Linked DNA regions of Sus scrofa. The protein of the gene in region 1 purifies or fractionates together with the protein of each later gene. This does not show direct contact. Links are inferred from orthologs where the notes say so. Each region holds a gene or a part of one and is shown in the gene's direction. Other genes may lie near its edges. The genes, in order: NCK2, TNIK and ARHGEF7.

Region 1 (9,568 bases):
GAAGCAGCAGTCTTTAAGGTGTATAAATTAGCACAGGGAACTGTGTCCACTCTCTTGGAGTGGAACATGATGGGGATGATATGAGAAAAAGAGTGTATATGTATGACTGGATCACTTTGCTATATAGTGGGAATTGGCACAACATTGTAAATCAACTATAATTTTAAAAAATACAAAAAAATAAGGTAGATGGATTAATAGGTTTGAGAAATTCATCAAGTTGAACCTGAGCAGAGAATTGGAAGTAGTAAGAAAGAATCAAGTGAGAATCGTAGGACTAAAACAATACAATAACTGAAATTGAGAACTCAGGGGAGTTCTCATTGTGGCTCAGTGGGTTAAGGACCTGACGTTTTCTCTTGTGAGGATGGAGGTTGACCCCTGGCCTCACTCAGTGGGTTAAGGATCTGGTGTTGCCGTGAGCTGTGCATAGGTTGCAGATGCAGCTTGGATTTAGTGTTGCCATGGCTGTGGCATAGGCCTCATGTGCAGCTCCTACTTGACCCCCGGCCCAGCAACTTCCATATACTCCAGGTGCGGCCATTTAAAAAAAAAAGAACTCATTAGGTTTATAGCAGATTAAATACAGCTGAAGAAAGGATTAGTAAACAGGAAGATAGCTCAGAGGAAGAAAGACTTTAGGATACATACACACAAATATAAAAGGACAGAAAATGCAGAAGAGCATAGAGCTTTGCTGTGCACAGAATATGTTGGTCCATTCCCACCCCGGCGCCCCCCCCCCCCGCCCACCCTTGCTGGATTCCTAGGTTGAAGCCTGGTCCCCAGTGTGATGGGATTAGGGGTGGAGCCCTCACAAATGGGATTAGTGCCATCGTAGCAGAGACCACAGAGCACTCTCCGGGCCCTGTGCCATGTGAGGGCATAGAGAACGCAATCTTTGAACCAGAAGGCAGGTCCTCAGCAGCCACCAAACCTGCCAGCTCCTTGCTTGTGGACCTCCAGGCTCCAGAAGGACAAGGGAGGCCTCTGATGTTTTTAAACCACCCAGTTTATGATATTTTGTTGTAATAAACAGAACTGAGATTCACAGGATCCAGTGTGAGATTTCACATACATGTAATTGGTGTCCCCAAAGCCAGGAGGGGGAGGGGTGGACAGGAGCCTGGAGCCATGTTTAAAGACAGATGCCTGTGCCCCGTGACTAGTGAGGGGCCAGGCCAAGTCTTCTGGCTTCAAGTTCAGCACCTTTAGATCATCTTTTATTATGACACTCAGCACACAGAAACCTTCATTTAAGAAGTGCTTGTTTAACCCAGGTCCGGAGGGTGGAGAAATGGGGCCCAGGTCAGAGTCACTGGGAGATGCTTTCACGCCCATGTCTGCCTTCTGGTTACACCTCACTGCCCGCTGGAGATAACTGCTACCTTTAAGCTTGTGCTGATCATCTTCTTTGCTGTGTCTGTGTCTCTGAATGGTACATTTTGGTTCCGCCCACTGCTGAATTGCCTGGTTGGTGAGCTACGGTAGCTGTTCTGTGCTCATTCTCTTGTCTGCCCTTGGGGAGATTTTTCAGTCCCCGTTGACGCATCTATTTTGTTGCTCAGTGAAGTGTCCCCTCCAGTGAGGAGTGTTGGCACTCGGGGCCATCGTGACTGGTCCTGCTCTGAGCCCACCCCCGGGAGCACCTGTGCAGGCTCTTCTGAAACCAAGGGCATCGGTTGAAATGGTTCAGTCCTGGGGAAAGCGGGTCTTCAGCTTCTCAATCCTGCAGACACTCCTTGACCATGTGGCAGTGCTGGCTCACTCCCCCTCACCAGGCCTAGCCCTTTGCAGACAGCCCCAGGTAGCTTCCTGTCTCAGCTCCGAAGGCCCCAGGTGCTGGGCTGCTGTGAGCCTCGGACCTCTGCAATTCAGGGGGGCCAACACACAGCTGTCAAGTTTCTCCAACAAGCTTAGGTTGGGGCAGGGGACCGGATCCTCCTGCCAGCACCTGCCGCCAGTGCAGTGAGCGTGGCTCGCGTGACTCCCCCAAGGAGGTTTCAGGAAGCCAGCCTAGGAGGACCACAGCACCTGGGGGACCACACTGGTGGCGGGACTTCTTGAGGGTCCTCTGCTCATGGAGCAGAGCTCTCCTGGTCTGGAGCAACCCCATCTCCATCAGGTCCAAGGGACTGGCTCGATGTGGCAGGGAGAGTGTCCCCACTGTCCAATCCGGGGCTTCCCCAGAGGAGACATCTGGAGGAGAGCCTGACTCCTCAGGACGGCCTCCCCCAGGCACCTGCAGTCTGGGGCTCAGCTTGGCCCCTGAGCTCCCTCTTTCAGGGGCTGCATAGCTCACAAATCACATTCATCTTTTTCCTCCTGGCTCCGAACATTAGCATCTCTTGTGTGGTGGCAGGGTCGGGTTTCATCTCTCAGACTGCGTCAGGGCTCCCCAAGGGCTCCTAAAGCACAGATTACTGGAGGTTAAAACACAGACGGTCAGGCCCCACCTCAGAGTTTCCGAATAGGGGTGGGTCTGGAGCGGGGCCTGGGAATATGCATTTGTGACGAGTTTCCCGGTGATCAGGTGCTACTGCCGTTCTGGGAACCCCACGTGAGAAGCGCCCGTCCAGCTCAGCATCAGGCTGCGGTGAGAATGTCTGGCAGTAACACAGAACAGTGCGGTTTGGTGCTTCGACTGGAAAATGTACTCACGTTGAACTGAGAATTCCCCAAAGCTCCAGAACCCCAGCTTGACACAGACTTGGTTCGTTCTACATTCTTAAGTTCCATGTTTCTGCTCAGGAGCCCACTAACATTAAAAACCACCTCTGCTGCAGCAGTTTGACTGCCGTAACTCACATACACGTGACACACCAGGACATTCAGTAGAAGAGCTTAAATTAAAAGCAAATTCAGAAAGTCCTCTTGATCATGGGGCTTGCTGAATATTGAGTCTATGATCTACCAGCTCTGAGTCACCTACTCCCTCCATATGATGAACTGATTCAAGTAGCTGTACATACAACTACCTCAGTGCCTGGCTTGTGCTAAGCTCTAAAACCGAGATCACCCTCGACCTTTATCTAAAGGCACAGAATGCATGTGCTTATAAAAACGAGCAGGAGCTTGGCTTCCTATCGTGGCTCAGCAGTTAACAAATCCGACTAGGATCCATGCGGATGCAGGTTCAATCCCTGGCCCCGCTCAGTGGGTTAAGGATCCGGCATTGCTGTGAGCTGTGGTGTAGGTTGAAGATGTGGCCCAGATACTGCGTTGCTGTGGCTGTGGTGTAAGCCAGTGGCTATAGCTCCGATTCAACCCCTAGCATGGGAACTTACATATGCCACAGGTGCGGCCCTAAAAAAAAAAAAAAAAACCAAACGTCGCTTCAAGACAACACAAAGCCCCAGGAGAGAGCTGAGCAGGTCCTGGCATGTTTGTGCTGCTGGACACAGGGCTTCCCCTCGTCCACCGAACTGACTGCAGTGTGACAGTGGTGGCAGGGCTTCCACGTGCAGAGCACCTGTTGGGTGATACCTGTTTGAGTTTGTTCTCTTTTCAGAACCACACACAGCATCTGACCTGGATGGTGATGCTGAGGCCAGCTTGCATTCATCTCGTTTGTCAGTCCTGTGATAATCACAGTGATTTGAGAATTGTGCAAACAATTACTGAGAGTACCCTTCTGTGCTGTTTAGAATATGATGTTGATAGGGCTGGTTGACAGGATCATCTGTGACATCAGGATCCCTGATGGGTCATTTCTCTTTTTTTTTTTTTTTTTTTGAGGGTCCACCCAAGGCCCCCCACACCCCATCCCCACCCGCCCTCCTGGGCTGGCTCAGAAGATCTCTGCCCCATGAGGGTTCCTTCCTTAGACATCTGGTTGGGGAGATAATTTTCAGGTTCTGTGTCCCCCTCCCCAGCCTGTGCGGGCCCCCAGTCCTCTAAGGGCTGTGATTCTGAAAATAATACGTAGCCCAAGACCTAATCAGAGCCAAACCTTCCTGTCTCTTGCTTCGGTATCTTGGTAATTGTAATGGTGCTGCTGTGAATATGAACATTAAAGTACATGTATCTTTTCGAATTATTGTTTTTGTGGGTTTTTTTTTTTTTTTTTTTTTTTTCAGATAACACGCCCAGGAGTGGAATTGCTGGATCATGTGATAGTTCTGTTTTTTGGTTTTTTTTTGAGAAACCTCCATACTGTTTTCTGTAGAGGCTTCACCAGTTTGCAGTTTGTATCCCCAGCAACAGTGTACGGGGGTTCCCTTTTCTCCACATCCTCACCAACATTTGTTATCTGTGGTCTTTTTGATGCTAGCCATTCTGACGGGTATGAGATGGTACCTCATTGTGGTTTTGATTTGCATTTCCCTGATGATTAGTGATGTTGAGCATCTTTTCATGTGCCCGTTGGCCATCTGCACATCCTCTTTGGAAAAATGTCTGTTCAGTTCTTCTGACCACTTTTTAATTGGGGTTGTTTGTTTGATGTTGATTTGTATGAGCTGTTTGTATATGTTGGATATTAACCCCTTATCAGTCACATCATTTACAAATATTTTCTCCCATTCAGTAGGTTATCTTTTCGTTTTAGCAATGGTTTCCTTTGCTCTGCAAACACTTTTAGGTTTAATTGGGTTCCATTTGTTTTTGGGGGGGGGTTTGGTTGGTTTTTTGTCGTTTTAGGCCTGCACCTGCAGCAAAGGGAAGTTGGCAGCATAGGGGTCAAATCAGAGCTGCAGCTGCCGGCCTCCACCACAGCCACAGCAACGCAGTCTGGGATCCGAGCCACATCTGTGACCTACACCACAGCTCATAGCAACACCGGAGCCTCAACCCACTGAGTGAGGCCAGGGATACTAGTTGGGTTCATTACCACTGAGCCACAACAGGAACTCATTTGTTTGTTTCTGCTTTTATTCCCTTTGCTTTAGGAGATGGATCCAAAAAACTATCGCTGCAATTGATGTCAAAGAGTGTTCTACGTTTTCCCCTAAGAGTGTTATGGTCTTATATTTAGGTCTTTTCATTTTGAGATTTTGGTGTGTGTTTATGGTATTAGAGTCTTGTAATTTCTCTGATTTACATGTAGCTGTCCAGCTTTCCCAGCACTTCTGTCCTTTCTCCATTACATATCTTGCCTCCTTTGTGGTAGATGAATTGACCCTAAGTGTGTGGTTTGCTTCTGGGCTCTCTGTCCTGTTCCTTCGATCTGTGTGTCTTATTTTTGTGCCACTACCATGCTGTTGGCTGAACTAATAATAGTGGTAGAAGTGAAATTTCTAGCTGCTGCCACTTTTTCCAAATCCAAGGAATAGCTTGGGCACCAAAAAATTAACACTGGTGAACCCTGGTGCTGTACATTCCATAAGGAATCTCCAGTTTTCAAATAACTAAAATACATTTAGCACCAAAACTGCACTAAGCACAAGGTAATTTTTCCTTTGATCCAGAGCATGAGCATCTCCATGGCCCCCGGGCCATTCTGCACACCGGGGTGGAAGCGGAGCCCGGCGTCCCTCCGAGCCCGGGGCTAACCCGTGTTCTCTTTCCTCCACAGCCCAGTGACTTCTCCGTGTCTCTCAAAGCATCAGGGAAGAACAAGCATTTCAAGGTGCAGCTCGTGGACAATGTCTACTGCATCGGGCAGCGGCGCTTCCACACCATGGACGAGCTGGTGGAGCACTACAAGAAGGCGCCCATCTTCACCAGTGAGCACGGGGAGAAGCTCTACCTCGTCCGAGCGCTGCAGTGACACCACCGGGTGCTCCGCGCTCCCTGAGCCCGGCCATGCACCCCAGAAGAAGCCCACATCCTGGGCCCTCCTACCAGCCGGCCCCCGGGGTTCGTCCTGCACCACTCTCTCCGCCTGGTTTCCCTTCTGTCCGGGTCGGTTTGTTTTCCATCTGCCCCCTTCGGCATCCCAGGCCCCCCCAGCCGGCTCTGGAGGCGGGGAGGGGGCCATGGGCCCAGGGCTCACCTGTTCCTTCTCCATGGAAACAGCCTTAGTCTGTGGACATCGCTCACGCCATGTGGCCCCCCTTCAGGACCCGGGCGCGGTTTGAATGCACCGAAGCTGCCCTTACTCCTGAGCTACAGCACCCTCAACGGCGGGCCTGGCTCTGGGCGGCACCTGCCGGGGCCCTGGATCCGGGTGCTGGGTGCTCACACAGCCCCAGACTCCGGGGGGCGACCCCACGCGCTCCTAGCAATACTGGGCCCCCCGGTGAGACAGGAGGGAAGAAGCTGTCCAGTGCCTTTGGGGCTGCGCTTGCAATAAAGAAAAGAGGTCCTGGGAAGTCGGCCCACAAAGGCGGGGCCAGAGACGTGGAAAGATGGAGGTTTTGGAAATTTCCCCCAGACGTGCCATCTGCATAGTGCTTTTTCCTCTTGCCCTTCAGCTTGCTTCAATTTCACAGTTATGTATTTAATTCTCAAAGTTATATGTATCTGTAGCCATTTGTTGACACTAATCCAGATGATTAAGGAGAACAGCTGATCTTTGGGGGAGGGGCGTGACAGACACTTGACACACACACACACACAAATATATATATATTATTTGCTTTATGGGGAAATTTTTCAGGGTTTACAAAAGAATATGTGATCGGTAGTGAGAGACACAGAATGTTTATGAAGAAATTGCGTTTTCTTTTTTTCTTTACATTTGAACTTCTTTATAGGTGAAATATATACAGTCTTGAGGTGGCACATTCCTACAGTTGAGGAAGGGGTCTTGGGACCTCCTAAACTTGTATACTCAGTTTTTTGGATATTGTAATAAAAAAGTATTATGACAAGACCCCGTGTGTGCTGATCCTTGGCGAAGCTCTGACTCAGCAGCCTTGACTGAAGACCCGGTGCCTGGAAGGGAGCGTTTGTAGAGAGGAATTTGAACAACTTTATCACTCGTATGTTTTCTTTTTTTACCATTTTTGTATCTTGAAATAATAAATTTTAATGCCTGCAACTCCAAGAGATCTAGAATCTCAAACTTCGTGTTAACTTTGCTCTTTGGAAATTATCTGTTCAAAACTATTTCAGCAAACCGCAGTCAGGTCAGCTCACCTCCCCACTGCCGTCTGCCTTCCCTGTGCCCAGGAGGCCTGCATGGGCACTCGCAGGCCGGGCACTGGGAGTACAAAGCCCAGGGCAGGTGTCGTGCCTCCGTGGGCTGACCGCAGCTGATGTGTGCCCAGGGTGCCTTTGGTGTATCCTTGTTCCTGCTCCGGCAAGTGGCCCTGTGGCATGCCCATAGCACAGATGGAGAAGGCACGAGGTGACCGTGGAGGGGCTGGGCAGGGGCTGGGGGTGAGGAATGGCCCTTCTGGCAGCAGAAAAGTGGGTGTGGTTTGAGTCAGCACTGCACCCGCCAGTCCTGTTTTGTCTTTAGTTGGGGATTTGGTTGTTACCTTTGAATATAAAGAAGTTTGACAATGAATTAGAAGTTTGATGTCTGGTCCGTGAGGTGGGGAGCACCCAGTGACATAAGAATAGAGGTCCAAGCAGGTGAGGCAGACCCATCACCTTAGACAACACAGGTGGGTTCAGACCTCATCGTGGATCACATTCCCTCCCAACGCTCCATCTCCCTGTCATGGGTTCCACGTTGACCTTGTGTGGGAATTCCGGTAGACCACAAGTGCCCAGGGAAGCGGAAACACTGAATTACACAGTAATTAAAGGACACGCTACAATCACACATTTTGGCCTCAGAAACTTCTTTAAGGCCTCTAGTTGTAATTGACAATGACAATGATTTTTTATTTTTATTTATTTATTTATTTATTTTGCTTTTTACAGACCCATGGTATATGGAGCTTCCCAGGCTGGGGGTCAAATTGGAGCTGCAGCTGCCAGCCTCCACTGAGCCCCAGCAACTCGGGATCTGAGCCATGTCTGTGAACTTATGAAGCTTGCAGCATCGCCAGATCCTTAACCTGCTGAGCGGGGGCCAGTGATTGAACCTGCATCCTCATGAATACTAGTCAGGTTCATTACTGCTGAGCCATGGCAGGAACTCCTGATGATTTTTTTTTTTTTTTTTTTTTTTTTTTTTTTTTTAACCTCAACAACATGGAGGGAGACTCTGGCTGCCTGGGGTGGATCAGAATTCGGATCTGTGAGGTTCCACCTGGCCATCCAGCCACCAGGTTGACAAGGGCGAATCGCTAATCCCAGTATAAGCGTGTTGATGGGTTCGGGCTGAGGCAGGGTCCCCGTGTGGTTTGGAGTGTGCATCACCCGTTCTCTGTCCAGGTGGCCATCACCTTCCTGCCATCACCTTCCTGCAAGTGCACACATTTCCTGGACAAGTCTTGGTTTGCTGTTCCCTCACCTCTGCAGAGACAGCGGAGGACACAAAAGGTCAGGCCTTTCAGGAGCTGTGTGACTCTTCTCATTTGTCTGTATTAAATGTGCCTTCATTTTCCATAAGCAGCCTGTGACTTACAGTCTGGAGGTACCAAGCTCTTGACACGCAGCTTATGCCAAATGCCCTTAAGCCCTCTTTCCAGGGAGCTAAAGCTGTCTGTCTTTTATAATTAGAATCTTTATATCTGCCCAAACTGGCATTTCCAGACAAAGCATTTTTGGTGCTGTGTTTGCTTTCTGTGTGCTGACTAGTTTATAACCTACTTTTCTACTATTTTTCCCACCCAAGGCCAGAATGCCCACATAACTTCTGAAGTCCAAAGTTCAGAACGGAGAGGATAAAAAGGCTTGAACATGTTTTTTTAAAATACTCCTTTTCAATGATGGCAGGTCTGGTTTTCTCACTAGAATGCAGCATTGTTCATCGGCTAGGGGAGGATTAGCGGGATTGATGTCATTTCTGCTCTGACAACCTGGCCCAGGTGCTGTCTGCTGTCCCAGGAAGCAGCCTCCTCGTCCAGACCTTGGAGCTCCTGGCGGGAGCGCTGGGTCCTCCTTCTTGGATGTCAAGCAAACCTCTGGCTCTCCCGACTGTTCGCTCAGGAGTCAGTGGGGCTGTGTCCCTCTTTGAAGTTCACGGGCATGTACATGGAATCACACAACATGCCCTCGAGCACAGCAAGTGCCAGCCAGCCTCTCGGGATCCGTGCAACATGGCCCGCCCTCCTCCTGTGTCCTCACCCCAAGTGGCTGACATTCCACATCCCTGGGAAGCATTCTCTCTCAGGAAGCCCTTCCTTTCTCAGCCCGAGTGGACGGCATGGCTGCCATCGGGCACTGCGCCAGCACTGCACGAGCCACAACCAACACCCCGAAGGCCTTTGCCCCGACTCAGCTCAGGCTGCTATGACAAAATACCATGACTGGACAGCATAGAAAGGATAGATTTATTAGAGCTCCCCCTGTGGCGAAGCGAGTTAAGGATCCAGCACTGTTTCTGCAGTGGCTCGGGTCACTGCCAAGGTAAGGGTTCGATCCCCAGCCTGGCACAGTGGGTTAAGGATCTGGCATTGCTACAGCTGTGGCTCAGATTCGGTCCCTGGCCCAGGAACTTCCATATGCCGCAAGGCATGTGTCAACCTGGAGGGTGACAGCTCCAGCCTTGAGAAAATGCTCCTTGACACGACTCTTCAAGTGCTCAGATTCCACCGTGGGGGCGGGGGGCTCCCTGAATCTTCCG
Region 2 (9,744 bases), on another chromosome or scaffold:
GGGTGTGGGTGTGGGTGTAGAGAAAGAGAAAAAAATAAATAAATAAATCCAGGCAGAGTATCATGGAGGGTTCCAGAAGAGGAACCTCCAAGGAAAAGAAAATGTTACTAAAGGATTACCTGCTGTATTTGACTGCATTAAAGGCGTTTAGAGCACTAACAAAGTTTGCATGTACTTAGAGATAGATACATAGAAAATAAGGAAGTGAAAAATGGAGAAAACAAGAAAGACAATATAGTAATGGTATACTGTGTGACTCATCTATGAACAATAATAATTTAAACACAGGACATTGACTTAACCAAAAATGTTACATGTAACTGTATTGGAGGTGCGGGAGAGGAAGAAATGTGTATGTTTGAAAGAGAGAACTAGAGAGAGATGATTATAAGAGTAAATCCTACTTAGAATAGATTTACAAGGAGATCCTGCTGAATAGCATTGAGAACTTTGTCTAGATACTCATGTTGCAACAGAAGAAAGGGTGGGGGAGAAAATGTAATTGTAATGTATACATGTAAGGATAACCTGACCCCCTTGCTGTACAGTGGGAAAATAAAAAACAAAAACAAAAAAACTGTCTTGGTCTGTTCGAACTGCTGTAACTGAATGTCATGGACCAGGTAGCTTATAAACAACAGGAATTGATTTTTCACAGTTCTGGAGGCTGGGAAGTGCAGGGTTAAGGCGCTGGTAGATTCAGTGTCTGGTGACAGCCCCCACCCTGGTTCACAGACAGTTGTCTTTTTGTTACAACTTCACATAGCAGGGAAAGAGGTCTGTCTGGGGTCTCACATTAAGGGCACTGGTCCTTTTTAAATTCCTGATAACTGGAATCCAAATTTGAATAAAAGCAAATGAAAGCCATTGTGTCTCTACCCATTTGTTGGTTTTTCTACCATCTTGTCTTACCAGCTCTCAGCTACATATATGTGGGTGAACATAAAAGCTAGGTAAGGAGAGCTCCCGCTATGGCACAATGGGATCAGCAGTGTCTTGGGAGCACTGGGACAAGGTTCAATCCCTGACCGGGCACAGTGGGTTAATGATCTGGTGTTGCCACAGCTGTAGCTTAGTTTGTGGCTACAGATCAGATCTGATCCTTGGCCCAGGAGCTCCATATGCCACAGAGCAGCCAAAAACACCACAAAAGCTAGGCTAGAAAACATGAAGGATATTTATACAGAGTCTTCTTACAATGAATAATTCACATCTATATCTAGTAGTTAAAGACAATCATGTATATGCATATATAGTGATTTACATCTCTGTTAATACAAAAATTTGAATAGGGAGTTCCTATTGTGGATCAGAGGTAACAAACCCGACTAGCATCCATGAGGATGTGGGTTCAATCCGTGGCCTCACTCAGTGGATCTGGCGTTGCCATGAGCTGCAGTGTAGGTTGCAGATACAGCTCAGATCTGGCATTGGCATAGGCCAGCAGCTGCAGCTCTGATTCGACCCCTAGCCTGGGAACTTCCATATGCTGCAGATGTGGCCATAAAAACATTTTTTGAATAAACATTTCTTAATTAATACTTTTTCTGTTACAGTTAAATATGAAAGGATCAAATTCTTGGTGATTGCCTTAAAGAATGCTGTGGAGATATATGCTTGGGCTCCTAAACCTTATCATAAGTTCATGGCATTTAAGGTAAGCAGGCATGTGATTTCCTAACAAGGTCCTATTTTTTAGTTTAGGTTCCCACCAGTTAACAGTGATCCATCTTTCACATAGACTAGCACCAATTTTTCTATGTATAATAAACCTCCTTAAAAGTGTAGGAACTCAGGAGTTCCGTAGTGGTCTAGCAGTTAGGATCTGACATTGTCACTGCTATGGCTCAGGTTCAATCCCTGGCCTGGGAATTTCCACATGCCACAGGCAAGGCCAAAAAAAAAATGTGGGAACTCATATTTGTTTGCAACGACTAGGTATTAGTAAATGGTATTGAGCTGGTGAAATTAAAATCTGGGTACCCTCTCCTCCATTTCAGGTCTATGCATCGTCATTTCAAAGTGAGATTTAGTATGGAATGGTTACCAGGCAAACCATTCATTGTGATCTTAGGCAATGAAATTCATTGACAGCCACCCAACTAGGTCACTGTCTGATATTTCGTCTGAAAAAGGCAGACCAACAGCAGCACTGAATCTCAAAGTTGAACTGAGTCTCTAAATCTTATAATCCTCTTAAGCCTTTTGGGTCAAGTCCCTAAAACTCACTTGATGTTCCTATATCCCCATTGCTTATTGGACTGCTCTAAAATGAATACTAAATGTAATCACGTATAGAACTGGCCTGGTTTCTCTGCATCCTTCAATTTTGACACTTTTTCATTTTTTATCTTATCTAAGTCTGTACCCACCATGGCTGGCTTGATCACTCATGAGCTTCAACAGAATTAAGATTGGGATATGCTGGTCCTGTTGACTCCAGCTCATGAAAGTTGACCCCCAAATGCCAGAAGGACCAGTATTTACAGGCACCCTGATGTTTTTCAAAGCTATACAGTCTGTCCAGAGCCAGTGTGAATTTATCTTCTGTTCATTCTTTCTTTCTGCCTACATCTCTCTCCTTATAAAATCTCCATGGCCCCCCCTTTTTCTCCCTACCTTTATGACTGTTGCCTTTCTTTGACCCATTATGTATTCTTTCTTAATGCCATGTGAGGGCAGAAGCTGCCTTGGGAACATTATGTGGCCCTCATCAAGGCTGAATCACCCCACTTCAATCTTGTTCTTAGCACAAGGAGCTCATCTGTGATGTGCTCAGGAAGATAGGTTCATCCATGGAAATGGGCTCCCCTCCATAACCCTGCTTATGGAGAAAAATTGGGGGGATGCTTGGGTTAGTAATAACACTTAAGGCCTGGCTCCTGAAAACTGAAGTGGTGCTGCTGTTCTGCCAAAATCTGTCTTCGCCAAAGCTTTTCAATCAAGACCCCGTTCCAGTTCTGAAGTTACCGCCATCCGTTCACTAGCCAAAGTGAACAGTTGAGTGCAAAATGCTTTGTTCAGCAAACCTTGCCCAGCCTGGAAAGAGGGACGAGCAAAGGCAAGGACTTGAACAGGAAAGACTGGAGCTGGCAGGGTGTCAAGCCCTGCCTTGGGACAAGGAGATGAACCTCGAACGTCCCATACTTGGGAAGGATGTTAGCATCATTGTAACATGAAGAGGGAGGGGTCTGTTAGGTGGCCATGGCATCATAGCTGAGGCACCTGTGGTTTCACAAAGACTCTCCCAGACTTGAAGGTCAATACAGGGAGAGTGTGGATTAAATAATGGCAAAAGAAAACAGCTAGCTAGGGCTTAGACTCTGGGTTCTAATACACAGAACTACAATAAACACAGCTGAAGCTCTTTTTTTCCTTGCTAGTTAAACCCAGCTAGCCAGTGTAAACCATGAGTCTTGAGATGTGCCCACCCCCCACCATCCTTCGCTATGGCCCAAATTGGAGAAAGTGTCAATCTGATGCACTCGCTCACTGAAGGATGGTCAGAACGAGAGTATGTGCCTGTTAATCCTGAACAGGCTTAGCACAGAGCCAGCCCGCTGCCCACCCAGGCTGTCTCTGCACAGACCTGGCTGTCATTGGGAAGGAGGGACCCAGAGAAGTGACTGGACCTTCTTCTTAGAGAAAAGGCCAGAAATAAAGAGGAAAAAAACAGCAGCACCCAGGCACAGGTGTTTCATAAACGATGAAGTGGCAACTGTAGACCATCTTCTCTGCCCTGGAGGACAAGGGGTAGAGAAAGGGGTGCCAAGCTCTTCCTCCTAGAGCCAGCATAGAGATAAACCTAATACTGAAAGAAATATAATATAAGTAAAAGAATGTGTATGTATATGTTTGTCTGGGTCCCTTTGCTGTACATCAGAAATTGGGACAACATTGTAAATCAATTATCCTTGAAAGAAAGAGAAAGAAAAGAAAAGAAAAAAGGAAAGAAAGGGAGGAAGGAAAGGAGGAAGGGAGGGAAGAAAGAGAAAGAAAGAAAAAGAAGAAAGAAAGAAAGAAAGAAAGAAAGAAAGAAAGAAAGAAAGAAAGAAAGAAAAAGAAAGAAAGAAAGAAAGAAAGAAAGGAAGGAAGGAAGGAAGGAAGGAAGGAAGAAAGGAAGAAAGAAAGAGGAAGAAAGAGAGAAAGGGGAAGGGAGGGAGGGAGGAAGGAAGGGGAAAGATTTCCTAGCCTTTCGGTTTAAGAAAATTAGACATGAACTTCCATAGGAAATAGCTCAAGGAAAAAATTATTAAGATAACTTCTTTGAATGATGTGAACACTCATGTGGTGATTTTTAGTCTTTTGCAGATCTCCAGCACAAGCCACTGCTTGTTGATCTCACAGTAGAAGAAGGTCAAAGATTAAAGGTTATTTTTGGTTCGCATACTGGTTTCCATGTAATTGATGTTGATTCAGGAAACTCTTATGATATCTACATACCATCTCATGTAAGTTCCTGGAAGCGGACTGTCAAGGCACTCTACAACAACCTGCATGTACAGATTTGTTTCAGCACCTGTTTAGTGGAACTCATGCTAACTTTGACTAATCAGTAAAGCAGATGGACTTTCAGCCTTCACTAAATAGATGATGCTGTTAATAAATAAAACATGTAAATTTAATTCGTTAAGGCTGCTTAAAACTGAGTAACGCATAATAGCACTTATTTGCTATTAGCTGGACATTTTGTCTCATTGGATTTTACACTAAAATGCATATCATGTTTTTATGCAAGGGTAGCATTCTGTTTTTTAAGCAAGAGCACAATAGATGAGCTCCTAGTTTCAGTTTTTGAAGGAAATAGGTTCATTTTATGTGAGAGAAGGCCAATTGTCCTTTTCTTGCTATTTGTGTTCCTCTTTACAATTTGATGTGGTGGAATCAAACCAGAGCACATACTCAGGCTCTAGCATGTTTTTGCTTTGCAATAATGGATGCATTAGGCAGCCTTTCCATTCCTCATCTTTCACATCTATAAAATGGGGCTAAAAGGACCCATCATACAGGGTTATTATCAGTATTTAATGAGGTGAAACATCTAAAGTACTTGGCACAGGGCCCTGCAAAGTGTAGTATTAATATCACTATACTGACACATTGCTTAAAACATGACTTTTAAGGGAAATGCTACCCTGTTTCATGCAGTAGGATGAATGCAGTGTAAATTCTGTTTCCTATATATATGTAATCCCAAGGCTAACTTAGGGTAGAAACCCAATCTGTTGCTGTTTGGTATATTGGGAGTTTAAAGACTTTACTCCAAAGAAGTACAACAATTGAAAAGAAGTGGTTTTAGTGCATGACACATGTCATCATTGCTGCATCACAGCTTTTCATGCTGCCATGTGTGTGCACACGTGTGTGTGTGTGTGCGTGTGCGTGTGTGTCTGTGTGCACAGAGGACTCTTGGTGAGGAGACAGGGCCATCGTGGTGATTGTCCTCATTCATGTCCACCAAGCACCTGTTGCACTACCATGACATTCTCAACCAGGGGATCAGAGCAACACCCTGTCTCTCTTTCTTGAACAAGTCAATCTACATTTATTTGAACAGTATGTGTTTTTTTTTTTTTAATGAATGGTAATTTTTAATTTTTTTTTTCTCAGTAAGCCATTAATTTGGATTATCCTCTTATTTAGCACCCAGATAAACAATCTGTGTTGAGTGTTCATAGCCTGTTTTGGTCCCAACTTTGGGCCCCACTTAGGCAACCTCCATCAGATTCCCCTGGCTTGCATTCTCCTCATCTTTTTTGGAAGTAGATAGAAAATACAAGATATTCAGTGTTCATGAGAATGTGCTCAAATCCCAATTCTATCATCAGCTTTGGTCAAGTTATATAACCCCTCTGAGATGCAGCTGTCTCATCTATAGACAAAGACATTGAGCATGGAGAGCTATTCTAAGGGCTAGAAGTTACCTATGTAAAGGGCCCTCTTTTGACACAGGACAGATGCTAGGTAGTTGTCCTTTTTGCTTTCAAGAAGAGGTAAATTGGATTCTTGACCAAGGGCCTAAGTTTGTATTTACCAGGGTATTGGAAAGGTCAGCAGTTAAATTAAGCAAAGCAAAATGTCAGTCCCTATAGTGCAACTGGAAAAAGAAAAAGGAAAACCCCTTTTTTTTAATTTTTATTTTTTGAAATTCTTAGAGATTAACAGTCAAGAGTCTGTCTTATTTTTAAAAAGAATAATGTCTGGCCTTTCTTTGTCTTCTAGATTCAGGGCAATATCACTCCTCATGCCATTGTCATCTTGCCTAAAACAGATGGAATGGAAATGCTTGTTTGCTATGAGGATGAGGGGGTGTATGTAAACACCTACGGCCGGATAACTAAGGATGTGGTGCTCCAATGGGGAGAAATGCCCACGTCTGTGGGTAGGTTAACCATTCCTTATCTCCTTCAGCAGTTACACCCCCCAAATGAAACGAAAGTCAAGAAATGTGAAACAACCATTTGATTCCACAAAAAAAAAAAAAAAAGTCTGTGAATAACACTTGTAAGACTTGCTTTGTCTGTTTATCTCAAGTCGTTTGTCATTTTTGTGGTTAAGATGTGAACAGATGCTGTGAGTTATTGCCCATCTAATGTTTTTAATGCAGTTTTGGAAATTCCTTTTGACAGCCTACATTCATTCCAATCAGATAATGGGCTGGGGCGAGAAAGCTATTGAGATCCGGTCAGTGGAAACAGGACATTTGGATGGAGTATTTATGCATAAGCGAGCTCAAAGGTTAAAGTTTCTATGTGAAAGAAATGATAAGGTAAATCCGTTTCAACATTTGCATTAGTGTTTGCATTTTAAGAGACCACCAGGTACCTGTGAAACCTTCATTTTCCTTTATACTGATTTGAATCACATCTGTGTTAAGCAATCAATATTATCTTAAAATGGCATTATTTGGTTTGATTCATGTGAACCCTCAAAATATGTTATTCACACATCAAAAAAGACATGAAAACATCTAAAACTTTCTTGTAAACTCTTAGTAACTTTTGTGGCCTGCAGGCCTTAAAATGACTCAGCAGATACCCTAAATTCTCCTAAGCACTTAGAAGAGTTGGCCCATCATTAATCACCTCACAGTGGGTCAACGTGTAGTCCACTTTTAGACTTTTCACAAAATCACTATTGGGACCTAATCCATCACATTATATTCAACTTTCAATGTAAAACATTTGACATATAGAAATATAAACTTTTTTGAGAGTGTCGCCCATTCCTCAAAGAATGAAAATCACAAACTCAACTAGTGCCATGTCCTGTGTCATTCCAGCCATGTTTCTTCAGAAGTGTTGTAGGGGGACTGTTTTCCAGTGAAATTGGCAGTGTCCATCTGGCATGATCAGTCGCCCAGAAGGGAATTCTGCAGCAGTGCTTCTCCCTTGCCCTCCCTGTAGACTAACCCAGACTTTTTAGTAGCTAAACTGTACTGTATTTGTGGATTCATCTTTTGTGACTATGGCCAACCTAGAAATGTTGTCCCCAGAACAGCAGACACAAACCTCTATAGAAAAGAATGTGATGGGTTAAACAGATGTCCATCTCTTAGCCCACGCCCATTCCTCAGAAGCCAGGCTAGTCTTAGTCCAATCCCGGAATAGCCAGCTACTCTGACCTGGTGTGGTCTGGGTGGACAACAGCTGAGCGTGGCAAGGAGGGTTCCAGGGTCTTATCAGAGGATGTTAGTAAACAGAAGTGACCCCAAGTAAAACTCCAGCTACCATCTAGTCTCTGGGGATCATAAGACTAGGAGTGATCTGAGCATGGACCCCCACATTCCAGTTCATTGAAGACCCATCCCAGAAAGCTTACTCCACACCATGTCCACACCCTCATGAGCAGGCTGGGACCACACCAATATCCAGGGTCCAAGGTTTAGAGCCAGGGCACGCAGAACCCAGAGAGAACAGCAGCCCTTTCTTTCCTTCATTGTGTTTCCATGGGTCCCCTGTGCTTCCTTCCCCATTTTAATTCATTGACCCTAACAGTAGCTTTACTTACATATGTAGCATTAGTTGAATGACAAGAATTTCCACAGAACTTCCTAAATTGTTGGGAGAGAACATTCTTCTGAAGAAGTTGTGGAAATGAGGTAGCAGAGACTTTATACTAGTGATAAAAGTAAATGCCTTGGACCAAAGTTTGGTGCTGGCTGACTGAAGGGCTAGGCCACAGCCCAGAATGTTATTTTCCTAGGGCAGTGGTTCATTGATGTTCACCTCAAGCAAGCAGTACCCCAAATTTTGCTCACTGCTCTCATCTGTTTGATAAAATGATTTAGCAGACCCAGACTTAATGGACTGTGATTCTTCTCATTAATGCTGTGATCTCCTTTGGGCTAGGCTATGCTTCATCAGCAGAGAAGCTACAAGTTAACTCTTGAAATGCCAAAGTGAATAGACATTAAACACCTTACCGTAGCTAACCAGAACTACTTTTTTTATTTTAAAAATTTATAACCAAAGTTGTATCATAGTCAGTAAGCCCCCACGTTCCCCCTTGACTTTGTGAAGTCGACAGGATTCTCTTCATTCCCAAGGTCCGCCCTCTTGTCATAATGAGAGAGCAAAGGAGAGCCCCTGCGGTTTTCCAAAAATTAACAAAGGACCTGTTGTATCCTAGACCAGAAATCCAGCATATTTTCCCAGTAGGAAACTCCCTTGTAAAATGTGAACCCCCAAAGGGTTGCTCCAAATCAAGATATAGCCCCTTCTGGGTCCCTGAAGGCCAATACCATGATAAGTAATAGCAACCACTATAGGAATAAAGGCAGAGGATGCACTGTATTAAAAGGCACTTTATAAACACCTGCCCTTGAGTCTTAAATGCTGACACATGGCAAGGATAGAACATGTGAGAGAAAATGGATGGACGGTTGAAGAAAAGAGGGAAAGAAACCATGCAGTTGAACTAACTTTTTTTTAATTTCAAACAGGTATTTTTTGCATCCGTGCGATCTGGAGGAAGTAGCCAAGTGTTTTTCATGACCCTCAACAGAAATTCCATGATGAACTGGTAACAGAAGAGCACTTGGCACTTATCTTCATGGCGTTATTTCTAATTTAAAAGAACATAACTCATGTGGACTTATGCCAGTCTAGAGGCAGAATCAGAAGGCTTGGTTGAACATACCGCTTTCCCCTTTTCCTCTCCCTCTACCCGTCCCAATACAGTCCATCTTTCAATGTTGCAGCCTGGTTGAGAAGGAGAGAAAAGGGTGGCAGGAATTTCCAGGAGATCCCCAAGAATGCTGCGTTGTCTGTGGACAAAGATGGACCATGTGCCCTTCGGAGTTAGGGATAGAAACAAATATTGTGTGCTCTTATGATTAAGCTGTGTTACGGTGGATTGTTTTGTTTTGTTACTTTTTTTCTTTACCCCCTTACTTTGTAAGAATGGGGAGAGAATGCATACTGAGAAAAAATGTCTGTTTTTAATTCTGTCTGCCTGCTAGGTTTAAGTATATGATATGTTGTAAAATTTCCAATTTCAAGTGGTGAGAGACAGCACAATAAATGTACCTTATCTCTTTACACTGAAGGCTATAACTGCATAGTGGGGTGATTTCAGAACTTCCGCCTTCACCAACCCAAAAGGTTGCTTTTTGATAGCAACTGCTAATGAATTTTTAAAAGAGAAGAAAAATAGTAGTTTTCCCCTCTTTTGGGAAATAGATTTTAAATGGCTAAACTACTAGCCTTAGACTAATAAAATCAGCTACCGTTTGTGGGGACA
Region 3 (9,844 bases), on another chromosome or scaffold:
AAAAAAAAATAAATAAATAAAAGGGTAACTAATCCCTCCTCTTGGAACATGAGCAAAGGCAGCGGGAAGAACCACGGCGGATCTGGGCGTCAGCCCACGCCAAAGCCAACACGGCCAAGCCCAAGTTTCACTGCTGCTGGCAGATGGCGTAGGACCCAGGGCCAGAGACCGAGGCCCATGTGACTCAGCCGAGCAGAGAGCACGGCCCCTGGTTCCCACCAGGACCCCCTGTTCCCAAGTCCAAGGCAGTGCCGGCTGGGCTGGGGCGGGGGGCACGCACGGGTCATGGCTGAGGAAGAGGAGCCCCAGTTTACAAGCCCCGATCTTTAAAGGCACTCTCAGTGAGCCCACCCACACTTTGCCTCGCTTTTCTTTTTGTTTTTGTCGCTTCATAGGGCCGTCCCTGCGGCATATGGAGGCCAGATTGGAGCTACAGCTGCTGGCCTACACCACAGCCCCAGCTGGGAACGTGGGTTCCAGCTGTGTCTACAACCTACACCACAGCTCAAGGCAATGCGGGATCCCTGACCCACTGAGTGAGGCCAGGGATTGAATCCGCATCCTTGTGGATACTGGTCAGGTTTGTTTCCCCTGTGCCATGATGGGAACTCCAACTTTGCTGTTATTTTCAACCTGCTGGTCAGCAATCAACTTCGTCCTTTGCCTCGGAGGGGACCATGTCTCCATCTTTGAAAGGCTGTTTGGTCCCGAACACTCCTGAAAAGGTAGAACAGAAGCTGTCACTACTTCCGCTCAGATATTCAGAAATGTGAGAGCCTCGCAGACTAACAGCTCCCAACAAGGACACAAATGAGAAACTTGGGAGAGGGAAATAAACTGAAATGCATGAAATATATTTTTCAAAATCCATGAATTCATCATGATAACTTAAAAAAAAAATCACTGGTTTCCTTTGAAGGAAGCTGGGTCATGACATTGAAAACTGGTAAACGCAGAAAATTAGCACTTACCGCCTGTCCAACACAACGGTTCACACAGCTGACACGAACAGGGCTCCAGGGATAAGTACCAGGGACTGTCAAGCTTGTCCCCCCACCCGACCCCACCCGAAGTCTGGAACCTGGGAGGGGGTTACGGACGGCTGCTGGGACCAGTGAGGATGACGGTGGACCCGTCATGGGTGTGTTGGGACGAGTCTGGTGCCGAGGCAAGAGACACCCTGAGATTTCGCGTTTGCTCTGATGTCGAGTGACAGGAAGCACGGCCTCTGGTGGGTGTTTCCGAGCCACGATCCTGCTTGTGGGTTGACCTTTCTCCCCTCAAAGGTAGGTTCAAGTCTTAACTCCCAGGGCCTCTGGACGTGGTTTACGAATGGGTTTGCTGGATAATTCGATGTGAACCAACAATGGCCTGCTGCCTGGCTCCAGCCCAGCTCCTGCCAGGGCGAAGGGCAGACAGGGCGGAGAAGCTGGCCTACCGCCTCTGTGCACAGATGTGTGGGCAGTGCTGGGTGGCTGGGCTCCTCAGTGGGGGTCTGGAAGGGGCGAGATGGGATGAGGGGTTGCCAGGGAGTAGGGAAGGGCCTGTGATCCCCTCTCAATCTTTCAGGGAGCATCAGTAAAGGGGCGCTTGGCAACCGGTGCTCAGGTGGTGTCTGTAGCTGAGGGCAGCCAGGCCAGGCTCTGCCTGCCCCGCCATCGCCCTGCACAGAGGGCCATGGGCGGTGTGGACAGTGCGGTCGTGGTGGCGGGGATGGAGGTGTGCAAGAGACCTGCAGCGTGGACCCCCTCTCACCCACGGCCGAGGCTGCTTCTAACCCAATGCTGGTGGCAAGTTGGTTAGGGCAGAGCCCTGCATCCTGGAGGGAGAAGCAACCCACCTTCTGGGTAGACACCTGTAGGAAGCCAGCTTGGGGACAGCCTCCTGCAGGGCTAGGGGCCTGTCTTTCAGCGTGGCACACATGTTGAGCCAGTGGCTTTTAGATGGTGACGTGCCCCCCCCCGTAGCTACATAGCAGCATTACCATCACGCCCAACGGTCCAGGTGGGGAGTTTGCACCTTCCGCTCTTGCAATTCGGCAGTAATGAGAGCAAACAGGAATCTCGGGGAACAGCTACTCTCGACTCAACACCCTTCTGGTGATAGAGTCTCCTTGGGCACAACACTCGATGGAGCTGATAACTGCCCAGTTTCCCAGCAAGTGTACAGGGCGAGGTTTGGACCACGGGTGGGCTGTGTCCGTGCTGGAGCTGCAGAGCCCAGGCTTGAGTCCACCTCTGCCACTTTGCCACCTGCTAAATGGGGACGATGAGAGGAACTTCCTAAGACTGTCGCAGTGACTGTGCCACGCAATGCGGGGAGCTGTGACCGCCGTGCACATGGCCCTTATAACCCAGAATTCAGACTGCCCTTTGAATCACTCTGCGTTTGCATTCGGAAAGAAAACTTAACCACTTAATTCGAAGCTGGGAATAAACACAATTCATGATTACAAAAGAAGGACTCCGCAAGAAGGCAGAGGAAGAGGTGAGCTAAGCCTGTGGGTTTTTTTAATCTTCGTGTTTTCTGGCCTTTGTCACCAATTGCATTAACATATGTGCTTGGCACAGAGCAAGTTCTCTGTAGGTGACTGCGAATGCTGTCTTAAATTGCCCCGGGCAGTCATAGCCCGCAAACAGGCAAAGTGCACACTGGGTCCCTCCAAGGAGAGACGCTCCCTTCCTTAGAAGATGGTGTGTGTCAGCCCTCCTCTGAAGAAGTTTTTTCGTGGCTTAGCAGTTGGGCGGCTGAGCTCTTCAGCTCTGGCCCATTCGGACGCAGCCAGGTCTCTGACTGAGACCTCTTGCTCAGGGCCAGTCCAGCCAGGTTGCTTGTTTGGACTGAGTGAGCTGTCCTCACCGTCCTTCCTCCGGGATCATCTGCCCAGATCCAGTTCAGGCTCTGCTGTGTTCCTGACCTTCCTCCCACAGTGTCTGAAACAGCGCCATCAAGTTAAAGCCGAGTGGCTCCAAGGCTTCCGGTCGGGGAGAGTGGGACCACCGCATCCCGGCCGGTGAGGTCACGCACGCGGACGGGCCTCCCAGCAGAGGGCACGCGTGACCCCGGCCGCGCCACGCTCCGGGGCGTCCCTGTCCCCAAGGATGGCAGCAGCCTCAGGAAAATCAGTTCCTCCCCGAATTAGGCCCATCTGGTCACAGATTTAATTATCGTTGTGTTCGGTAATTATTGGCTTGCAAGGTAGCTGAGAGAAGCAAACGTCTCGTTTTCAGCTCCCCCCGCCCCCAACCTCTTGGGGAAAAAAAAAAAAAAAAAACCTGGCAAAAATAACGTTCATGAATTAGAAGATAAAGGATTCCGGGGCTTCCGAGGAGGGAAGAGGCGGCGGAAGGGCCCGACGGCGAGAGGAGCCTGGCTGGGCTCTCGCCTCAGAGGGGGCTGCGCTGGGGACCCGCCGGGCGCCAACGGCTACGGGCGCGCGCGGCCCGGAGGGTAGGAGGCCCGGCGAGCCCTCCCCGGCCGGCGGGCTGTCGCCTCCTGGAGGTCACCGGGCCCTTGGGGCGGGGGCCCAGCACCCGGCGGCGCAGGTGGGGACGCGCGCGCACAGCCGGCCCGGGTGCGGAGGGCGCACGGCGGCGGGCCCGGGCGGGCGCGGGGGCGCGTGTGCGGCAGCCGGGTGCCGGCGCGGCCGGGGGTCGGGGGGCCGGGAGGCCGGGGGCCGGGGCGCGGGGCCGCTCCAGCGCGGCGTCTTTCTTCTCCTCGCAGTGATGTCATCGGCGGCAGCGGCTGGCAGCCGGGAGGCGGCGGCGGGGGCGGCGCCGGGCGGCCGCCGCAGGTTCATGTGCATCTAATGAAAAGGCACTTGACAGTCGGCCAGGACGCACGCGAGGGAGCGCGAGCCGGCCGGACCGCGGCGCCGCCCGAGCCAATCGCCGTCGCCGGCCTCTCCATGGGCGAGCAGGAGGAGGGGGCGGTGGGCGCAGCCGGCCGGGCCGCGGCCGCTCCGAGGTGAACCGCGCCGAGACGGGCTCGCGGCGCGGGGAGGCCGGGCGCGCCGCCGCTATGAATTCCGCCGAGCAGACCGTTACGTGGCTCATTACCTTGGGGGTGCTGGAGTCGCCCAAGAAAACCATCTCGGACCCGGAGGGCTTCCTGCAAGCGTCTCTGAAGGATGGGGTGGTCCTCTGCAGGCTGCTGGAGCGCCTGCTCCCCGGGACCATCGAGAAAGTGAGTGCCCCCCGGCCCGCGCCCCCGCGGCGGACAGGCCCGGGCGCTGGGAGGCCCGGCGGGAGGAGTCCGGGCGGTGGGAGCCCCGGGCGGTGGGAGGCCTCGCGCCCCACCTGGCCCCCGCCGCGGCCCGGGATGCGCGGAGACGCTCGGGCGCAGGGTCGCCGGCGCCGGCACCTGGTGGCCGCGCGGGCCGGGAGAGCGCCGGGCGCCGCGGAGCCCACGCGCCTCCTTTGTGCGCGGACCCGGGAACGCGGCCCGCGCGGGGGGCGCGCTGGCGGCGCGAGGACCCGGTGGCGGGATCCCGCTCGGGGCGCCATTGTGTGCGGTGGCCGCCGGGGAGGGGGCCGGGCCGGGTTCAAGGGGAACGGCCGGGGGGAGGCCCGGAGGGAAGGGGAGCGCTCCGCTCTGCCCCGCCCGGAGGAGGAGTCGCCCCTCTCCGCGACCCGAGCCGAAAACCAACCGCTCCAGCGCCGCGCACAGCTGCCTCGCAGGCTTTGTTTGAACAGCTTTTGTTGGTGGTACCGTGTGAGAGTTTCGCCCTCTGTTTAACTGACCGATTGCGGTGCGTTTTTAAAAGATGCATTTATCAATAGCCGAGGGTGGGCTGTGAAATGATTTGCTGCCCTCCCCGCGGAACAATTCCCCTGTCCCCAAGCCCAGATGGCAGGCGCAGGAAAGCCCCGGCGTTCTTCAAGTCTGGCATAAGATCCTAGATTTCATTTTCAGGTTCCTACCTGATTTTAAACAGAGCCCCTAGTCCTGGAGACGTCTCTTCTATTGCCTGGTGGTTTCCTCGGGGCTGGAGTGTGAACCTTGACCACAACTCTGCGAGGGATTCAAGTTTGCTTCCTCCGGCTCCGTTGACTAAGTAGGGGCGAGCGGGTAGAGCGGCGGATCCCTGTACTTCAAAAACACTGCAATTCTATCCTAATTTTTTTTTTTTGCCAATACATAATCTTAATATCAGCAGTTACTTAAATGGTTTAAATGTAGAAATTAAAGTGCAGACTAATGAGAAATACTATTTAACTTTGAAAAATGGAGTATATCGGCCCAGCAGCACAGTATTAATTTGCTAATAATAAAATGTTAATTAGGTGACTTTAAAAAGTAAAATGTTTAATCTTTTTAAGTTTGCTCATGTTCTGGCATGGCATTTTAAAGGTCAGAAAAGATTTTATGTGATATGAGTTGTGTATACATATGAGTTTTAGGTATTTTCTTACTTGCAACATATTTCGGAAAGCAGAATCTGCATTTTAGGATGAATAGCCCTGGTCTGTCTGTCCAGGAAATAAAAATGGTGCTTCTAAATGAAGCTGATGTCACAATAAAATTATGATTGAAGATAGGAATAAGGAGCAGGAGCTAACTTTGAAGGCACAGAATACTTGGTTGTTATCTGGATATCAGGACCTCTAGTAATAAAAGACAGATGTTGAAACGCATTGAAAATGCAGGCTAACTTTACCAAAATGGGCTTATGTAAAAAAAATGGTTCCATTCCAAGAGTGAAGCTTTGAGAAACTTCAGAGGCTATTTGACCAAAACCTGTCATTGTTGATGCATGTGTTATTTGGCATATTCGCTGCGTGCCTATTGATTGGCAGACCTCAATAATCACTTTCTTTTAAATTGTTGAACGGTTTTCTTAGAAAACCATAGCATTCCTTTCACCTCGGAAACAACAAAGAGAGGAGTGAATAACATGTTTAATGCGCAGAAGCCCAACGGAAACAACCCAACATGTCCTAAAACTGGTCATTTGGAAACTTCTTACAGTGCAGCCAACCTTTTACCCCCCCGCCCCACCCCCCGCCCCTGACTTGTTTGTCTCAGAGGGACAATCTCAATGAAAGTTCAATATCAAAGTAGCACATTCTCTGTGGTACAAAGGTAGGTTTGGGGAGTAAAATATTAGCCATTCTCTGCCTCTAAAAACCCCTGGGTTTTAGAAGTCTCACGAGCCCGTTCCATTTCCTCAGAAGAGTATTTATTTGAACTTTCTGATGTTTGTATATGCACAGCAGATAGCGTTTGCCAGAAAGCACACGCGGTGAACAGCTTTTGCTCGAATGTTGGAATGTTAGTCTGAGGATGTTTTTCCTTCAAAAGGAACATTTGGGAACCTCACTGAGTATTCCTGTGGACGCGAAAGGATCTGAACTTGACCTCAGTTTGCCACATCAACACACAGGAGACTGGTTATCGGGGTGCAGGCAGCCTGCAACTTAACCTTTGCAAATGCACAAAATTTAAAACAAACCCTCAGGCTGGGGAGAGCATAGCGCAGAATCGGGAGAAGGTTCGGGGTGGCGCAGGGCTCCCATGTGCCTTTTATTAAGAAAGCATGTCCTGGTAGGTCTTGTGCTCGATGTTGGCTTGTTCTGTCTTAGGGCCGGCAAGAGGCTGGAGGACTAAACGGGAAGTTCGTCTCGGTTCAGACGGTTCTGCTCATTTTAAAAAGCATTCTGTTGAGGTTCCCTGCTTTCTTCGGGGGCAGGGGGTCCGACAGGACAAGAGGGGCTTATAGACTGTACACCAGCACTTCAGAAGACAGACCCGTCTCGTTATTGTCCACGATGTGGGGAGAGGAGGGGGTGTTACTAGTTCCCCCAAGTTTTGTACGAGGCTCTTCTGCTTTGACTTTGTCTAGTAATGGCTGGGATTTTGCTGACCTGCCCACACTGCTTGCGTCTGTCATTCCTCCTGTGATGAGAAACACACGCAGGCCACGGGAGCCAGGGAGCCCCGCGAATTAACACTTTAAACAGCTCTGGACTGGCTGGTCAGAGGTCGAAATTGAGAGACAGTGATATTCCCCCTCTGAGCTTCTGCACCATTAGGGAGACACAGTCAAATAGTGGAAGTCACACCAGGCTGCTTAATTCTACTGGTAAATGCAGCAGGTGCAGTTGCTTGCATCACCGTGAAATGTTCAAGGAACGTGGTTCTTCTCTCGTTGCCCAGGATGACAGAACACCGTAAGCGGTCACGTGTGGCCCCGGAGATGCCACCTGTTGGTATTAGTGGAAAGCAGCCGAAAGTCAGATGCCGCCCTCTGGTCCTGCTGGACACCCTGGGGGTGCATGTGCATTCAGACTGGTCGAAGCTGTCGGGCTGTGTCTTAGCTTCTCAGGGCTGTGGCAGCAAAGAACCCCAGCAGGCACCCCCGAGCGTCAGCCTCTCACATCCTGGAGGCGGAGGTCCCACATGGAGGTGGGGGCGGGGCGCTCCCCCGGCAGGTGCAGGGATGTTCTGTCCTGGCCTGTCTCCCCACCGCGTCTCCTCTGTGTCCAGACATCCTGTTATAAGGACACCAGTCCCTGGACGAGGGCCTCCCTCCCAGTGTGACCTCAACTTAACTGATGACCTTGGCAGCGACCTTGTTTCTAACTAAAGTCACGTTCTGCAGCCTGGGGCTCAGGGCTTGACCGTGCGCATCTCCGGGTCCCAGCCAGCCCACAGCAGGTGGCATGATAAGTTGGAACCAAGTCAACTTCCTAAGGACCTACCTGCCTGCAGGGGACCAGCTGCTGTGGGAGAAAATGAGACCAAGACACATGTTCTCATGGGTGTGCTGGTTCAGGAGAAAACAGCTGAAAACGAGCGCGGCGTGGGATGGAAGGCAGGGAGACGTCCGAGCCGGGCGTAGACGGAAAGGAGCGAGGAAGAAGTTGCTGGAGGGGCCTGCGTCCGAGCTGCCCAGCCTCTGACGCGTGTTCTGACACGTGGATTAGAATGTGGTTTGTAGTTCCCAGACTACGATCTGGCAGCGTGAACTGATCTTCCACGGGCTTGTAGAAAATCTTGGTGAATTCTGATGCTGTGTCGGAAGAAGACGTGGCTTTTTCCTAGTGGATTCCTGACCTGCCTTCTGCTCAGTCCTAGGATTCTGGGGCGGGGCGGGGGTGTGGGAAGGAAAATGAAGACCTCATGGCCGCTGGGCTGTAGTTCTGAGCGCCCACGGAAAGAAGTTTGCCTCTTTCGAGGCCCTTTTGCCCTGAGAAGGGTGTGGTCAGCAGCGGCAGTGTGGTGTGTGTCGGGGGTTGCCTTCAGGACGAGCTGGTTCGAGAGGCCAGCGTTCTGTTGGAAATAGCTGGTGAGGTACTCAGAGAGAAAAGCCATACGTCTTGTTCTTTTAAGGAGACTTCTTCAAAGTTTACAAACTGAAATATTGGCTGTATTAAGTTGCTTCTCATGAATCTGCTTAAGGTTTTGGAATGGTTTGTTTTGTAATAATAAACATCTGTTTTTGAAGCACGTGACTTTCAAGGACTGTCTCAGCCCTGCACCAGGGTGATTCTCGTTGGGGTTTTAGGCCCAGAGAAGGGGATGGCTGTGACTGTGTTGGCTGGCTCCTTCAAAATGAAGTGAGCACACATAAATTCATTTTAAATCGGGACCACCTCCAGTGCTGTCCTGAGTGCCAGGCTGGACGTGCTGCAGCGTTAGCAGGGCTGGGGGAGGGGCTGCAGGCTGGCCTGCAACTGCCTCTGGGAGGGACCAGTGTCTCTGCTGTCCCGGGACCCTTCTGTTAATAGCGGTGACACCTGTAGGGGTCTGCCCTCTCCTTTCTCTTTTAAAGAAGAAAAGCATGCGCGCCCTGGGTGGTGGGGGCCGCACTGGAAAGTGGTGGCACTCGGCTGCCGCCCCACAGTCACCTCGAGACTCCCGTTTCACAGGTGAGGACACTGAGGCCCAGCTGTCCCCCCCTCCCGCCCCCGCTAAATCAGAGGCGGTTCCTGCTTCAGGAATGATGGCTCAGGTGGGGGACCAGACGTGGTGGCCGTGGTGGACACAAGAGTCTGCCATTCAGCGGGCGGCAGAGGGGGCAGGGGCCGCGTGGGGGCTGCCGGGAGCTGCTCTGCCTGGCTGGGCGGAGGGGGCGCCCCCGGGGACAGCTGGTCAGCTCTCGCTCCGGCATCCAATAACCCTCGTGGGGCTCCCGGGCCTTCCTGGCCCTGAGTCTCCTGGGAGCCCATCTGTGCGCCACACGTATGTGAAGGTCTGCCTGCAGGCCACTTTTTCGGCGGGGCCGGCGCCAGCCCCTTGGACCGGGATCACATGGGGACCTGTCACTGTCGGGAGAAGGCGGCAGTGGGCACTGGGCTCCACCACGGGCAGCACCAGGGGCCCGGAGAGTCCGTGGTCCTTCCTGGGGTGGTGGTCCCAGGGTATGCTCCAGAGTCCCCCACTTGCTGTGTGACCTCGGGCAACCGGCCTAACTTCTCTGCGTCTGTTTCTTCCTCCTAAAAACGAGATGAAGGGCTCCTGTCGGGGGGAATGGCCTGCTGCGGCAGCAGGGTCGTCATGAGGGTGAACGAGCAGTTCTGCGCACGGCCTCGCAGGTGCTCGTGATTTCGTGGATCAATCCCGAAAACGACGCCTGCTCCGCCCAGAACCGGGCCGGGATTCGAACCTAAAGGCCATGCGAATTCGGGGACATTTCCTTATTCTCACAGCTGGGCAGAGTCCTGCCGCCTGAGGAGGCTGGAGCTTCGCCCTTCCCACCATTGTCTGGGGCGGGGAGGGGGACCGGGGAACTTGGCGTCCCGGGCCCTCGGTTCGTGCCAGGTTCCTGCGCAGCTGCTGAGCGCACAGCTGCAGCCTCCCGGGGGCCAGAGGGCTGAGCTGGGGGCTCGGGTTTCGGGTG

What was found.
Region 2: the proteins of NCK2 (region 1) and TNIK purify together in Homo sapiens (affinity purification with mass spectrometry; 3 studies listed by BioGRID and IntAct, counting the BioPlex papers as one, with this or other methods). This does not show direct contact. The link is inferred for Sus scrofa from reciprocal best matches to the Homo sapiens genes NCK2 and TNIK.
Region 3: the proteins of NCK2 (region 1) and ARHGEF7 purify together in Homo sapiens (affinity purification with mass spectrometry; 3 studies listed by BioGRID and IntAct, counting the BioPlex papers as one, with this or other methods). This does not show direct contact. The link is inferred for Sus scrofa from reciprocal best matches to the Homo sapiens genes NCK2 and ARHGEF7.

Annotation. Positions count from the first base shown.
Region 1 is NC_010445.4:49,061,176-49,070,743, reverse strand, and holds the end of NCK2 (cytoplasmic protein NCK2), read left to right. Parts: intron 1-5,515; coding exon 5,516-5,710; downstream 5,711-9,568. UniProt on the Homo sapiens protein: Adapter protein which associates with tyrosine-phosphorylated growth factor receptors or their cellular substrates. Maintains low levels of EIF2S1 phosphorylation by promoting its dephosphorylation by PP1.
Region 2 is NC_010455.5:109,647,612-109,657,355, reverse strand, and holds part of TNIK (TRAF2 and NCK-interacting protein kinase), read left to right. Parts: intron 1-1,556; coding exon 1,557-1,657; intron 1,658-4,301; coding exon 4,302-4,451; intron 4,452-6,222; coding exon 6,223-6,382; intron 6,383-6,629; coding exon 6,630-6,769; intron 6,770-8,944; coding exon 8,945-9,028; 3' UTR 9,029-9,744. UniProt on the Homo sapiens protein: Serine/threonine kinase that acts as an essential activator of the Wnt signaling pathway. Recruited to promoters of Wnt target genes and required to activate their expression. May act by phosphorylating TCF4/TCF7L2.
Region 3 is NC_010453.5:77,423,556-77,433,399, forward strand, and holds the start of ARHGEF7 (rho guanine nucleotide exchange factor 7), read left to right. Parts: upstream 1-3,796; 5' UTR 3,797-4,020; coding exon 4,021-4,185; intron 4,186-9,844. UniProt on the Homo sapiens protein: Acts as a RAC1 guanine nucleotide exchange factor (GEF) and can induce membrane ruffling. Functions in cell migration, attachment and cell spreading. Promotes targeting of RAC1 to focal adhesions. May function as a positive regulator of apoptosis.